2 linked regions of the Bombyx mori genome follow. The protein of the gene in region 1 purifies or fractionates together with the protein of each later gene. This does not show direct contact. Links are inferred from orthologs where the notes say so. Each region holds a gene or a part of one and is shown on either strand. Other genes may lie near its edges.

Evidence for each region.
Region 2: the proteins of MYND-type zinc finger-containing chromatin reader ZMYND8 (region 1) and metastasis-associated protein MTA3 purify together in Homo sapiens (affinity purification with mass spectrometry; 3 studies listed by BioGRID and IntAct, with this or other methods). This does not show direct contact. The link is inferred for Bombyx mori from reciprocal best matches to the Homo sapiens genes ZMYND8 and MTA1.

The regions. Positions count from the first base shown.
Region 1 is NC_085121.1:12,325,122-12,331,572, forward strand, and holds part of MYND-type zinc finger-containing chromatin reader ZMYND8, read left to right. Parts: intron 1-1,477; coding exon 1,478-1,648; intron 1,649-3,047; coding exon 3,048-3,223; intron 3,224-3,695; coding exon 3,696-3,806; intron 3,807-4,372; coding exon 4,373-4,485; intron 4,486-5,186; coding exon 5,187-5,279; intron 5,280-5,429; coding exon 5,430-6,451. UniProt on the Homo sapiens protein: Chromatin reader that recognizes dual histone modifications such as histone H3.1 dimethylated at 'Lys-36' and histone H4 acetylated at 'Lys-16' (H3.1K36me2-H4K16ac) and histone H3 methylated at 'Lys-4' and histone H4 acetylated at 'Lys-14' (H3K4me1-H3K14ac).
Region 2 is NC_085131.1:3,858,905-3,865,355, reverse strand, and holds part of metastasis-associated protein MTA3, read right to left. Parts: intron 4,238-6,451; coding exon 4,044-4,237; intron 2,932-4,043; coding exon 2,814-2,931; intron 2,130-2,813; coding exon 1,927-2,129; intron 973-1,926; coding exon 784-972; intron 1-783. UniProt on the Homo sapiens protein: Transcriptional coregulator which can act as both a transcriptional corepressor and coactivator. Acts as a component of the histone deacetylase NuRD complex which participates in the remodeling of chromatin.

The sequences.
Region 1 (6,451 bases):
GTTTATCGAAAATTTATCTTGCGTTGAATGGGTTTATTACGCTGTCGCATCTACAACTCAAGAAATACTATGGAAATTAGATCTCTTTATATTAAATTGCAATTAGAACGTGTGTCAGTTTACTGTATTTGATGTACATTATTAAAAGTCGATAGTTGAAAGCCGAATAATAAGTAAAAAAATAGTAATATGAAAGAAGAAAAAAAAATACATACTTGCTTTTTAATCAGCCATGGTCTTGCACGCAACTCCACTCCACGCAAATAAATTAAATAAAAAAATTAATAAACACCCTATATAATATGATAAAAGTAATAATAACACTAAATCCGTCATGTTATAATAGAGTTGTCATAATTTAACTGTAAAAATGTATAATATGTTTAATGCTGTTCGGTACGTAAAATAAATTACCCACTGTTAAAGTTTTGAGACAAGATATAAGCAAGCTTTTTTATAAAAAGTTGAGTACTACGACATACAGTATATTTAATTATCACCGAAAATAGACGAGACTGGTTTTGTCATTATTGTCTAATTAATGCAGTAGGTAGTGACTAGGCTATGTTTCTGGCATTAGCAATCGTGGCCACATAGGTGAGTCTTGTGCTCATCTGCCTACGAAAGAGAAAAAAGCGCTTGTGGCGTAATAAATAAGTCTGGTATACTCGTATCGAATGATGTGATCATAGCGCGATCTTTGTATTCGAATACTATAGTTTAAAAAACTGCTTGTCGTTGTCACTAATAAGAAGATAATATGATTTTATTGTTTCATAAAACAATAAAATTCGACCGTATAGACATTGTACTGCATGAGCAGTAGTAGCATCTGTGTTCTTTCATGTAATTGTTTAGAGGTTAGAGGCTGGACACGATTTATTATTTTTAAACATTTTCTAACAGGCACTAGTAAGTTGCTATTAAGCAGTCATTAAGCTTAGCGGTACTGGTAATGTTAAAAATCGTCGCTCTATTTGAGTAAGCTAAATAATAACGATTTTTGTGATTCGAATCTAATGAATAATTGAGTGTAATTCTCGGGCCGTATTGTACTGTTAAAAGTGCGACCTTACAACATATGTCTTGAGGTGGGTGGCGGTATTTACCTTGTAGATGTCTATGGGTTCCGGTTACCACTCCAAACCAGGTGGGCCGTGAGCTCATCTATCCATCTAACTAAACAACAATTTTTTTTAAAAAAATCGTTGCAAGACGTAGTTCGTATGTCCTATGCATTGTTAAGATTTGATAACGTCATTAGAGTAGACAATTCATTTTTGACGCTTATATAATTTTCTATGAACAATAATAAATTTTAAAATTTGCGTTGATTTCATTATATTGATACGAAATATTATAAAATTAATTAATTAAAAAAAGAAATATTATAAAATAATTCTTCAATCATCTAAGACATATATAAAAAAAAATAGAATTTTAATATTGCGTCATACTTATTGTCCGTATATTTCAGTTCAGTCGAAGTTGACCGGCGCCGCGAGGGCGGTGGTGCGCTCGTGTCGTGCGGAGATGGGCGAGATCGAGGCGTGTCCCGAGTGCTACGCGGCCGCGCATGCGCGCAAACCCACCTGGTTCACAGACGTGTGCTCCACTCCGCACATACTCTTGTGGGCTAAACTTAAAGGTATACACACAATCTGTGTTGTAATTTGTTAATAATGAAATATCTGTATGTTGGTAGGACTGGTGGTAGGACCTCTTGGGAGTCCGCACGGGTAGGTACCACCGCCCTGCCTATTTCTGCCGTGAAGCAGTAATGCCTTTCGGTTCGAAGGGTGGGGCAGCCGTTGTAACTATACTGAGACCTTAGAACTTGTATCTCGAGGTGGGTGGCGCGTTTACGTTGTAGATGTCTATGGGCTCCAGTAACCACCTAACACCAGGTGGACTGTGAGCTCGTCCACCCATTTAAGTAATAAAAAAAAAGTTCGCAAGTGCTTTTTTTTCGACCTATTCTAGTAACCTCGAGGGGTTATTCTAGATTCACCGAGCTAGTAGGTGAGCTCACGGGGCACGGAGTGTTGCTAACACTGGCCCTAGCAAGAGCAGTGCTTCGCAGAATTTACCACCGGTTAGGAAACGCGACCCACTGAGATCCGGCGAGAAACTCAGTGGGCTGTGTCCGGTGACCGGTGCTTGAGGTACCTAAAAGCACCGTTAATGGATCGGGAGGATCTGTAATGACGTGCTTAGGGCTTTGCAATCGTTGACAATCAGGGAAGACTTTTGATAGTTCCACCAACCTGCAACTGATGGCGCGCGATTAGTTTCAGCAAATGATCATTTTTTATACAACTAATCGTGCAGAGCTTGAGTTTTACTAATAAGATATAAAATTATTGGTATAGTATAATATGTCTTAGTAGTTGTATCTGTGGATTTAGTTATTGTGTGGATATAAAAGATATAATATTACTTTAGTTTTCTAAGTTAAAACTTAAAATCTTTTTCTTCTTGCCCTTATCCCACTTTGCGTGGTGTCGCTGTATAAGGATTTGTCATGAGTTTTACCACTGACCAATTGGCAGACAGAAACTCTTCTTGCCTTATATCTTCAATAATATGTACATTGTAACGTGCTATTACTGCTTCACGGCAGAAATAGGCAGGGTGGTGGTACCTACCCGTACGAAGTCACAAGACATTCTACCACCAGTAATTACGCAAAATATATTTTTGCGGCTTTGATTTTTACTATCGATATTATTCCTTAACTATGAAAGTCAAAGTCAATCGTGAACATTTGTTAAGTACGTATTTCAATAGAAAAATTGGTACCCGCCTGCGGGATTCGAACATCGGTGCATCGCTTGATACGATTGCGTCTTTTATCTTTTAGGCCACGACGACTTCAATACTTTTTATTTTTAATTATTTTTATTGCCTTTGTAGGCAGACGAGCATACGGCCCACCTGATGGTAAGTAGTTACCGTCGCCCATGGACTTCAGCAATGCCAGGAGCAGAGCCAAGCCGCTATCTACGTTATATATACTTTAATATTTTATGTGCTATTGTTACCAGGGTTTCCATATTGGCCAGCGAAAGGCATGTCGGTGAGTCCGGCCGGTCTGGTCGACGTGCGTTTCTTCGGCGCCCACGATCGAGCCTGGGTGCCGGCCAAAGACTGCTTCCTGTACTCGGAGAAGGATCCAAACAACTTTAGAACTAAGCGACAGGATATATTGGACAGCATGCAGGTTTGTGAATCGAATTCATACAGTACGTTTTGTGTTAGCAACGGCGACTTTGCCGTAGCTCGTCAATTTTTTATTGCTTAGAAGGGTGGACGAGCTCACAGCCCACCTGGTGTTAAGTGGTTACTGGAGCCCATAGACATCTACAACGTAAATGCGCCACCCACCTTAAGATATAAGTTCTAAGGTCTCAGTATAGTTACAACGGCTGTCCCACCCTTCAAACCGAAACTCGTTACCGCTTCACGGCAGAAATAAACAGGGTGGTGGTACTTACCCGTCCGGACTCACAAGATGTCCTACCACCAGTAAAAAGTGTTTCTTCTGATTTCGCTTGGAGTCCGACTGTCAATCGTAAATTGATCTAGTCTTAGAGTTATTGATAGGGCCACATTTTTTGTCAAGTGTAATACTGTCGCTACAAACACGTCTCCGTTTAAAGTTTTATAATAATATAAGTCTGCCTTTTTTTCAGGAAGCCGAAGAACACATTCGTAACATATCGAGGAAGTATGGAAAATTCGTCTACCCCCCGTTCAGAACGCAATTCGATCCTGCGAAATTAAACGAGCAAATGAGAGTGATGGTATGTACTAGGCTGTTAAATCTTGATGCGGGAGATCGAAGTCTCAGAACCGCACCCGCATCGTTTTTTTTTCCTTACTTATTTTCTGGTAGCTTAAGAGGCTATTCCAGCTACGCCCTGACGGGTAGGTGAGCTCACGGGCTCAACCTGAGAGAATTCGCTAACACTAGTCCTAGCAAGAGCAGTGCTTCACAGAATCTTACTGGTGGTAGGACCTCTTGTGAGTCCGCACGGGTAGGTACCACCATCCCGCCTATTTCTGCCGTGAAGCAGTAATGCGTTTCGGTTTGAAGGATGGGGCAGCCGTTGTAACTATATTGAAATCTTAGAACTCATATCTCAAGGTAGGTGGCGGCATTTACGTTGTAGATGTCTGTGGGCTCCAGTAACCACTTAACACCAGGTGGGCTGTGAGCTCGTCCACCCATCTAAGCTATAAAAAAATGTACAACCGGATCAGAATCGCGACTGACGGATGACAGTACTGATCTCAATACACACTAACGATAGTGATTGAGTTAAATATTCCATATTAATAATTGTTAATTAGCTCTGTCGGTTTTCAGATACCATCGTTCGAGGGTGAGATACGTGTTACGGTCAAGGATAAATCGCCGAATACAACAAAAGACAAGAGCAGGACCAATTCTAAATGCTCTAAGAACTCTACAAATGGCAGGTGACTACACTGTTTGAGCTATGTTGTAAATCTTCGCTTAGCCAATAATACCGCGCACGCCACGCAAAAAACTGGATATCTTCTAAGGATTTTGTCTGATGTGTTGCGGCTCATAAATGGCTAATACATTGCATAGTGTATTTAGTTATAGAAGATATGTAGTTTTTCCCTCTGATAACAAATTAAGCAAATTAGATTTTTGTTAAAGATAACAAAACATCGAAAACGGTAATTGCATACATAATTAATTTAGGTCACAAGTGGTCGAATAATTCGTGCAATTCTATTTATGTTCTATTAAATATTGTACTAGCGTGAACACAGAATCTAAATAAATAAATCTAGTAATTTTAACACGAAACGTTAGTCTTACAAGTAGTCAATACCAAGTAAAACTTTTTTTGATTATTATCTGTACATCTGGCATCCGAATAACCTAATCTAACCAGCTCTCGTGCTTAAGAACAGTTAAAAATATATATTTTGGTATAATAAATGATTACCGTCAATTGTGCATTGATCTAAGTTAACATAAACTCGTATTATATTTTAAATTGTGATTGTTTTGATTCGATTTACCAGTTTGATTTCTATATGCCTACTAAATATTCATTTACATTGTTAATGGCCTCCGTTAAGGTAAAAATACAATCTAGGTGACCTGGCTATACATAATGACATAGCAGAAATAATGTTTTCAGTGATATAAGCGAAGCAGAAGATCTACTGGGGCAGCCTTGTAATAAAATTAATGATAATATTAATGATTCAAAGGACGAGGTGATGGAGCAGAAGTAAATATTTTTTTTTTAGTTGCTAATAAAACAATTAGTTAAATATGTAATCAGTTAAATGCATCAAAATAAGATTTTTAATTTTATTATTTATTCATTTCGAGATATTCGGTTTCATCTGTTCAATTGATTATAACTATTATGTTGCAGTCAAAAGTTAATGGAAGTTGACGAATCTGCGGTGAAAGACACAAAAGAGACTGAAAACTCGCGGAAAAGACGGCGCTCCTGTGTTACAGACACACCGGTGCAAGACAACACAGCCAACGAGAAAAAAAAGCGAGTCGATGATGAAAAATCTGATAAAAAGATAGACACAAAAGATATGAGCAATAAAGAATTACCAAAGATCAAAAAGAAAGAACCAGAGAACGTTATTATTCCAATAGACGATGATGATTCAGTTATCTCGATCGATGAGTCAAACGATTCAGTCAAAGGTAAAGAGAAAATAGTTGAGAAAAACCGAACCGTCACTCCAATAAAAATAATATTACCTAAACATAACCGACACACTCCGAAATCTAGCGGCACCAGAGAATCTCCCAGAACTAGCACCCCCAACGATAAATCTCTTCTGGTGACGCCAAAAGATGAAAGATCCGCATCAAAACAAAAAAATAAACCAGGCAGGAGCTCCACAGAGAGACAAAGCAGGGAAAGCAAGAGTAGACATGAAAAGAGAAGGAATTCCAAAAGTAACAAATCCCTGAACGGTAGCATAAGTTCTAAAAATGAAAAAAATGACAGGATGAAAACCGATAAAAACAACGAAAACCCAAACGCTGCCAACAAAGAGAAACCCGCAAGTAAAATATCAGTTATCAAAGTTAAAGATAGCGAAGCGATAAAATTAGCAGAGAAGACTCCGCCCGCAGAGGCTGTGAAGTCGGTTAAAGATCGAACGGCCGAGGATGACGACACTAGTTTGGCGGCCATCGCCCGCGACACGGCCCGGAATGCCGACTCAGTCATAATGAGCAACCCGCCCGGCATGCCCACAATCAGCAGCGTCAGGTCCTTGTCCACACTGGCCCAGGGCACCTCAACGACGACCACAAAAACGAACACGGCATCCGCGTCGGTGGACATAACCGCGGACAGTGCGCCGGACTCGAGCGCGCTCAGCAATACCGACTCGGCCAAGTCGCAGAAAGCGAGGAACGAGAACG
Region 2 (6,451 bases), on another chromosome or scaffold:
ATTCTTCACACTCATTCATGGTAGTGTGGATCGCAAGATCGTTTGTCTTCGTTTGTAATTCTCGAACTTAGTGCACTGTTGTATTTCATTGAATAATTATGCACCTATGTATTTATGTTATATATATCGCAATCAATTTTTAATCTATGGCATTTTTACGTTTTCAGTTCGCGCCGTGGATTTGTTGGCGCGAGGAGTGAAGTCATGTGATTTGTTTTAATTTGTCTATTTAGTGTTTCTTCAGGTTTAAATGTGTAATAACGGTGGTTTATTAACTGTTTACTTTCTGTGAAAGTGCACAAATGTGGGAAAATGAAACAAAGGCGCTGGACGTAACTTCTCGGGATCCTCCACAAAGTCTACTGAAATGACCACCATTTTATATTTCATCCCATATCATCTCATCTCATTAATTTCATTCCAGTTGATTAATGTCTCAAATTAATCATGTTCGTTTCATTGCATTTCCTTTCACTCCATATTATCATTTTTCATAAAAATAAGAATATAAATTAAAATAAGACATGACTTAAAGGTCTTAGATACCAGGTCATAAAATACCATTTAAAAAATATCAGATCGCGCTCATTTCGTTAATTTCATTTTAGAATTTTCAAAAGATAGTTTGGATGTACCAACACCCTATTATATATTTTAATATTGTTTTTAAATTCGAAATACCATCGAATTTTCCTTTTAACGTTCAATGAATGAATTGGCAAAGAAGTTATTGCAGAATAACAATGAGCCTTAATGCAATAGGTTATAAGGTGCAATACTAACAAAGTCCTGTCGTATATCAGCGAAGTCCTTTCCGTATTTGTCGAGTGCCTCCTCGAACAGGTTGGCCTCGGAGGCGGACCACTCCTCCATCTCATCGCGGCACAGCACGGGGCCCGACGCCGGCACCAGCGACGACAGCGCCGACTCTATGCTGTAGCCAGACTTGTGGAGGGTGTCCATCGCGTGGAACTGCAAACACATTATCATCGTTTTAGTTAGTTTCTAGCTAGAGACACAACTTATGCGCCAAGCAGCAATGCGTTTCGGTTTGAAGGGTGGGGCAGCCGTTGTAACTATACTGAGACCTTAGAACTCATATCTCAAGGTGGGTGGCGAGATTTACGTTGTGGACGTCTATGGGCTCCAGTAACCACTTAACACCAGGCGGGCTGTGAGCTCGTCCACCTATCTACGCAATAAAAAATAAATAAATAAAAAATATGTTGGTATTTCCATTTTCGTTTAAATCATTTAATAATGAAATAATTAGTCTAAGTTTGTCACCATTAATATGCGTTATATAGGTACAGTTCAGAAATCATTTTGTTTTAAAACCTTGTACATGCGACAAGGTGGTACGAGAGTAGTTTTAAGAAATCGATATTCTTTATACAATTAGCTATAATTCACATATTATCATAAATAACCACGTATTATTAAAAATAAATTATATTTAATTTGTTGTAGTTATAATAATACCCAATATTTATTTTTCTTCTATCCATAGATAGGATATACCTTTAAACACTCCTAACCTTTTAATCGTCATAATACGAATTCCGAGGCAAGAATATTTGATTTGATATTGGCATATTAAGACCGAAGTATTTTTATACAACGCAATACATTGATTCAAGTGTCATGTTTTAGCATTGTCCATGATTATTGTAAAATACCAGACGGTGTAAAAATCAGTACAAACTTTCTATTTGCAAGATGTACCTACCCTCATTTTCAAACTTAACCTATCGACTAGTTCTTAATAATACAATGTTCCCAAGTTATATATACATGTAAGGTATGTGAACTTGGTTGAATTAAACTACAAGACTGTTTGACATCGCAATGCCACACGCACAGTCAATTCTCTGCACGCTGATCTTATCAAGAGCAAGATAAAGCAGGATAGAAGATATGATTTACCAGTGTGATGTCCCTGCTCGCGGCGGCGGCGGACATGTGCAGCGAGGGCTGCTTGACGCTGGAGGAGCAGTCGAGGGCTCGTGCGAACGTGCCCACGGACCGCGACACAACTAAGAACTGATCTATCTGTCGGTCCGTGAGCCCGTGCTCCGGTGTCCAAACCAACGTTTCTAATTCTTCACTGATCCGTGGGTCCTCTTCGCCTGGAAAACACAATTTACACCATTAATTGAGTTATGAAAGATCTCATATAACGGTTAGGCAAAATTATATTCTCTTCAGATAACTCTTATTTTATGTATTTATATTTCTGTTTATCAGTGCCTTATGATAGAAAAATAGCAACCATTCAGATCTTGTGGCCAATGCCACTGCTTTCACTTTTAATTGAATAAAGTATGTAGAACTGAAGTTTCATAACATTAGAACAACCACTATAATAGTGTACAATACAGAATTGCTTAGCGGCCTAAACTCACAGGATAGATGGTGTATCAATCAACTCTAATAACATGCTACCGGTACCTAATATAAGTAGGAGCGTTGGTTAAAGAAAAAGGGTAGGTAAAGATTTTAAAGGAATTACTACGTTGAAAAAAGGATGTGACTAACTACTAGTAGAAGGTTGTAGTTATTTATCAATAACATCTGACTGACACTCTCTCTCTCTGATCATCTCTGGTTTGAATTATATTGTAAGCTCATTGACACACAATTTTATATTTATAAAGATTGAATAATTTGAATATATAGGGGCAATCCACATTTATTCAGATTAGTACTGTAAGGTCTTTAGTACCTTTTTAGTGATTATGATATCATCCTGTTGGAAAAAAAATACAAAAAAATGTTCTAAATCTTTAGTTTATTTGTTAGAATTGACATACCTTCTTTTAATAAATTAGTTACTTCAGTCTGATATCTACTTCCAACTCTGATTTCTCCCTTATCTGCTAATAAAGTCTTTTGTGAAGGATCAAATACTAAACAATAAAAAAATGCGTCCTGAAACAAAAGAGAAAAGTTTTTTAATTAAAATTCAATTTTATTATTTTGATTTTCCTTTTGGTTACTTGAACTTTAAAATCTTCTTTAATCTTCATAATTGGATACATTTCAATATAATTTTATATAATCAAGATCAGACTTTAATGAAATGGAACGTTTGAAACATTTTATTGTTTGACCAAAACTTACTTTGAGTATTACAAGACGCAACTAATTAATTACTTTTAAAAGACATGTAATTATAATTCTGGTCAGTATTGAATATTAATGGACTAATTTAAAAAAATCTTTGACACATACATAATGAGCTTTTGAGTACATTATCTGTGGTTTTTTCTAATTACAAATTGACACTCTTAGGGTAAGGTCTATCATAATTAAGACAGATGTATTAACATTAAGAGTAATATTTTAATACTTCCAATTACTGTATTTTATATTTATGTGGGAACGATTAAGCAACTTATCTAATACATTGAAGCCTTTATTTCATAATATAACCGTGTATGTACTTAAAACAATCGTATTAAATCTTTAATTCCATGTTTAATTAGAATTTTTATTTTTACATTTAAATTCAAAATTAAATTGTACATTTCTATGGTGTTATCCAAATTTAGTTTTAGGATCCAAGTGGTTAGTTTTTATAAGAGACTAGCCGTTGCATTAGAAATTACCATTATTATTTATTGGCATTATTATTAGGGAGTCCAACACTCATATAAATATTAGCCTATCCATTAAGTACATGTATTTTCTACATGGATACCAAGTTTCAAGTCAATCGGATGCATGGTTCAGTAGTTATAACGGAACATCCGTAAAAACCACTGTAGATTTATATATTAGTATAAATAACTTAGATTCGAAAAAGGCAAAGGGAGGACGGTTAAAAACAAAAATCCCGATATGCTTCTCCTCCTCGCGTCGTTTCCTCAATGCTGAGGATCGTGACCATTATATGTCGACAGGATTTTGCTCCTTGTAATGTCCCGCCAGCGCCTCCGATCATTGGCCGCATGAAAGGCGTCGTGGAATGGGATCTCTAGTGCGATATGCTTAATGTAGTTTTGTTATCAGTGCGTTCGTATCCCCGGGTACATACTCACATCCTTATTGAGATAGCTGAGCAGCGACTCCGTCTCGTTGAGTAGCGTGACGGTGCACTTGCCGCGAATGTGCGTCGCCGGCAACGTTTCCACGTGCCTGGACAGGAACAGCTCGCGGTGTTTCGCTTGGTGCCGCTGCTTCGGCGCCAGGCCGTCTGTACCTGGCAATTCGGTAGATTCCTCCTCCATCGCCGCTGTAACAGAGAAAATTATATTGTTTTTTTTATTGATTAGATGGGTGGAGCTCACAGCCCACCTGGTGTTAAGTGGTTATAGGAGCCCATAGACATCTACAACGTAAATGCGCCACCCACCTTGAGTTATAAGTTCTAAGGCCTCAAGTATAGTTACAACGGCTGCCGTCAACTTATATCGACAGATCAAGTGAGCTCGACCAGGAAGAAGGTAAGACAGCATCATCTAATTCAATAAACCGTTTATAAAAATCACTATCACTACATAGTATAAAACAAAGTCGCTTTCTCTGTCCCTATATCCCTATATATGCTTAAATCTTTAAAACCACGCAACGGATTTTGATGCGGTTATTTTAATAAATAGAGTGATTGAAGAGGAAGGTATGTATAATAACATCCATTAAATAGTGTAGAAATCAATAATAAATTACAGTTTCCGAAGCGAAGCGAAGGGCGGGTCGCTAGTTTATTATAAAATTTAGTCAGTAAAAGTTGCTATAGAGAACACACATCATAGGTTTAGAAGCCGGAATAGTAATTAGTAACTTTTCAAAACTACAGTAATTCTATAGTACTTGTAATAAAATAACTAACATGATTCCTATTTATGTTTGTATATATGCTCTTTGACACACAACTCGTACGTAATATCCAAAATCAATGGCTTCAATAGAAAATTGTGTGGCGATCGTACGAGGCGAGGGTCCAAGAAGGGTGACAAATCCGCTACATTGTCTTTTTTTTGTATTTGCGACATTGCATTATTTAGTTGGTACGCAAACCTGGGCTTCTCCTTATTCATATAAAATATGTAACTATGTTGAGTTCTCATGTAGAGCATCAAAACCGGTTTTTACAAATCGCGATTACAAGATAGTAACTCCCCGAACCGGTAACAATCAAGACTCATGCGTAAATATTCAAAATATATGAAGACAAATTTAAATGCACTGAATATTATAAAATCATCAGTATATTGAATATATAATGAGAAAACATAGTATAGAACTATATTCAAATACTTTACTAAACAGGGGTTATCGTTTGCCGTATTCGTAGTTCTAAAATGATAGAAGCAGAGCAGGGAATGTAAGTGTTGTTCATTTTAAAAAAAAGTTTTTAAGGTAGGTGGTGGTAGGACCTCTTGTGAGTCCGGACGGGTAGGTACCACCGCCTTGCCTATTTCTGCCGTGAAGCAGTAATGCGTTTCGGTTTGAAGGGTGGGCCAGCCGCTGTAAACATACTGAGACCTTAGAACTTATATCTCAAGGTGGGTGGTGCATTTACGTTGTAAATGTCTATGGGCTCCAGTAACCACTTAACATCAGGTGGGTTGTGAGCTCGTCCACCCATATATGAAAAAAAATAATATCATAATTGTAATACTATACAGTTATCAATCCCAAATGGGGTATTTGGGTTCATCAGAATCGGGGTAGAGCACAGCAGCCGGCGAGCAGGTGTTGCGAAACGAGCCCACGTCAACTTTTGATTTTAACGTACCGATGTGCGGCCGCCATTACGACACGCGTCCTACACGTACACACATACGTATCGACAAACATGTCCGACTTTCCGTTGGAATCTTATTAAATTAATGCATCGTAAGAGATGCGTGCGTGTAACAGTCGTGTTTATTATTGTTTCAACAAAAATCCGTTTTGGTAATCTCACGAGACCTTGCCGAGTGAATGCCTTAACGTGGTTGGGCTGTAGTACCTGTTTTATTGAGAAAGTGGGAATACACAGTACAATTTAAACTCGTTATCAGCGAGAGTTTAATACCAAACTTTACATCATACGCGCGTTGTTTGAATCGACCTTCGACGACTTATGATTTTATTTCACGTCTTATCTCTTTTACATCTGTTGTATTTTTAAATGTAATGATGATAAATAATGATTTTGTATTCGAGTTAATTTTTGGAAATGGAATTTACAAAACATGTAATTTGAAATCGTAAATGAATAACCATTAATGTTGTTTTTCGCAGGGTAAGCCGAGCTGGGGTCGAGTAGGTAAACAAACAAAAGGGAGGCTCGGCTGCAAAGAGCTCACAAAAGCGCGACCCCTGCCGAGAAGTTGGTCCTGTCGTATTGACGCGTGCCCACGTCACAGCGGCTACCATCATCATCATACCAATCTGCTGACCTTGCATGCAGTTACAACAATTCCTTCCCCTAGTCTTACATTCGTCCAACAATTGTTTT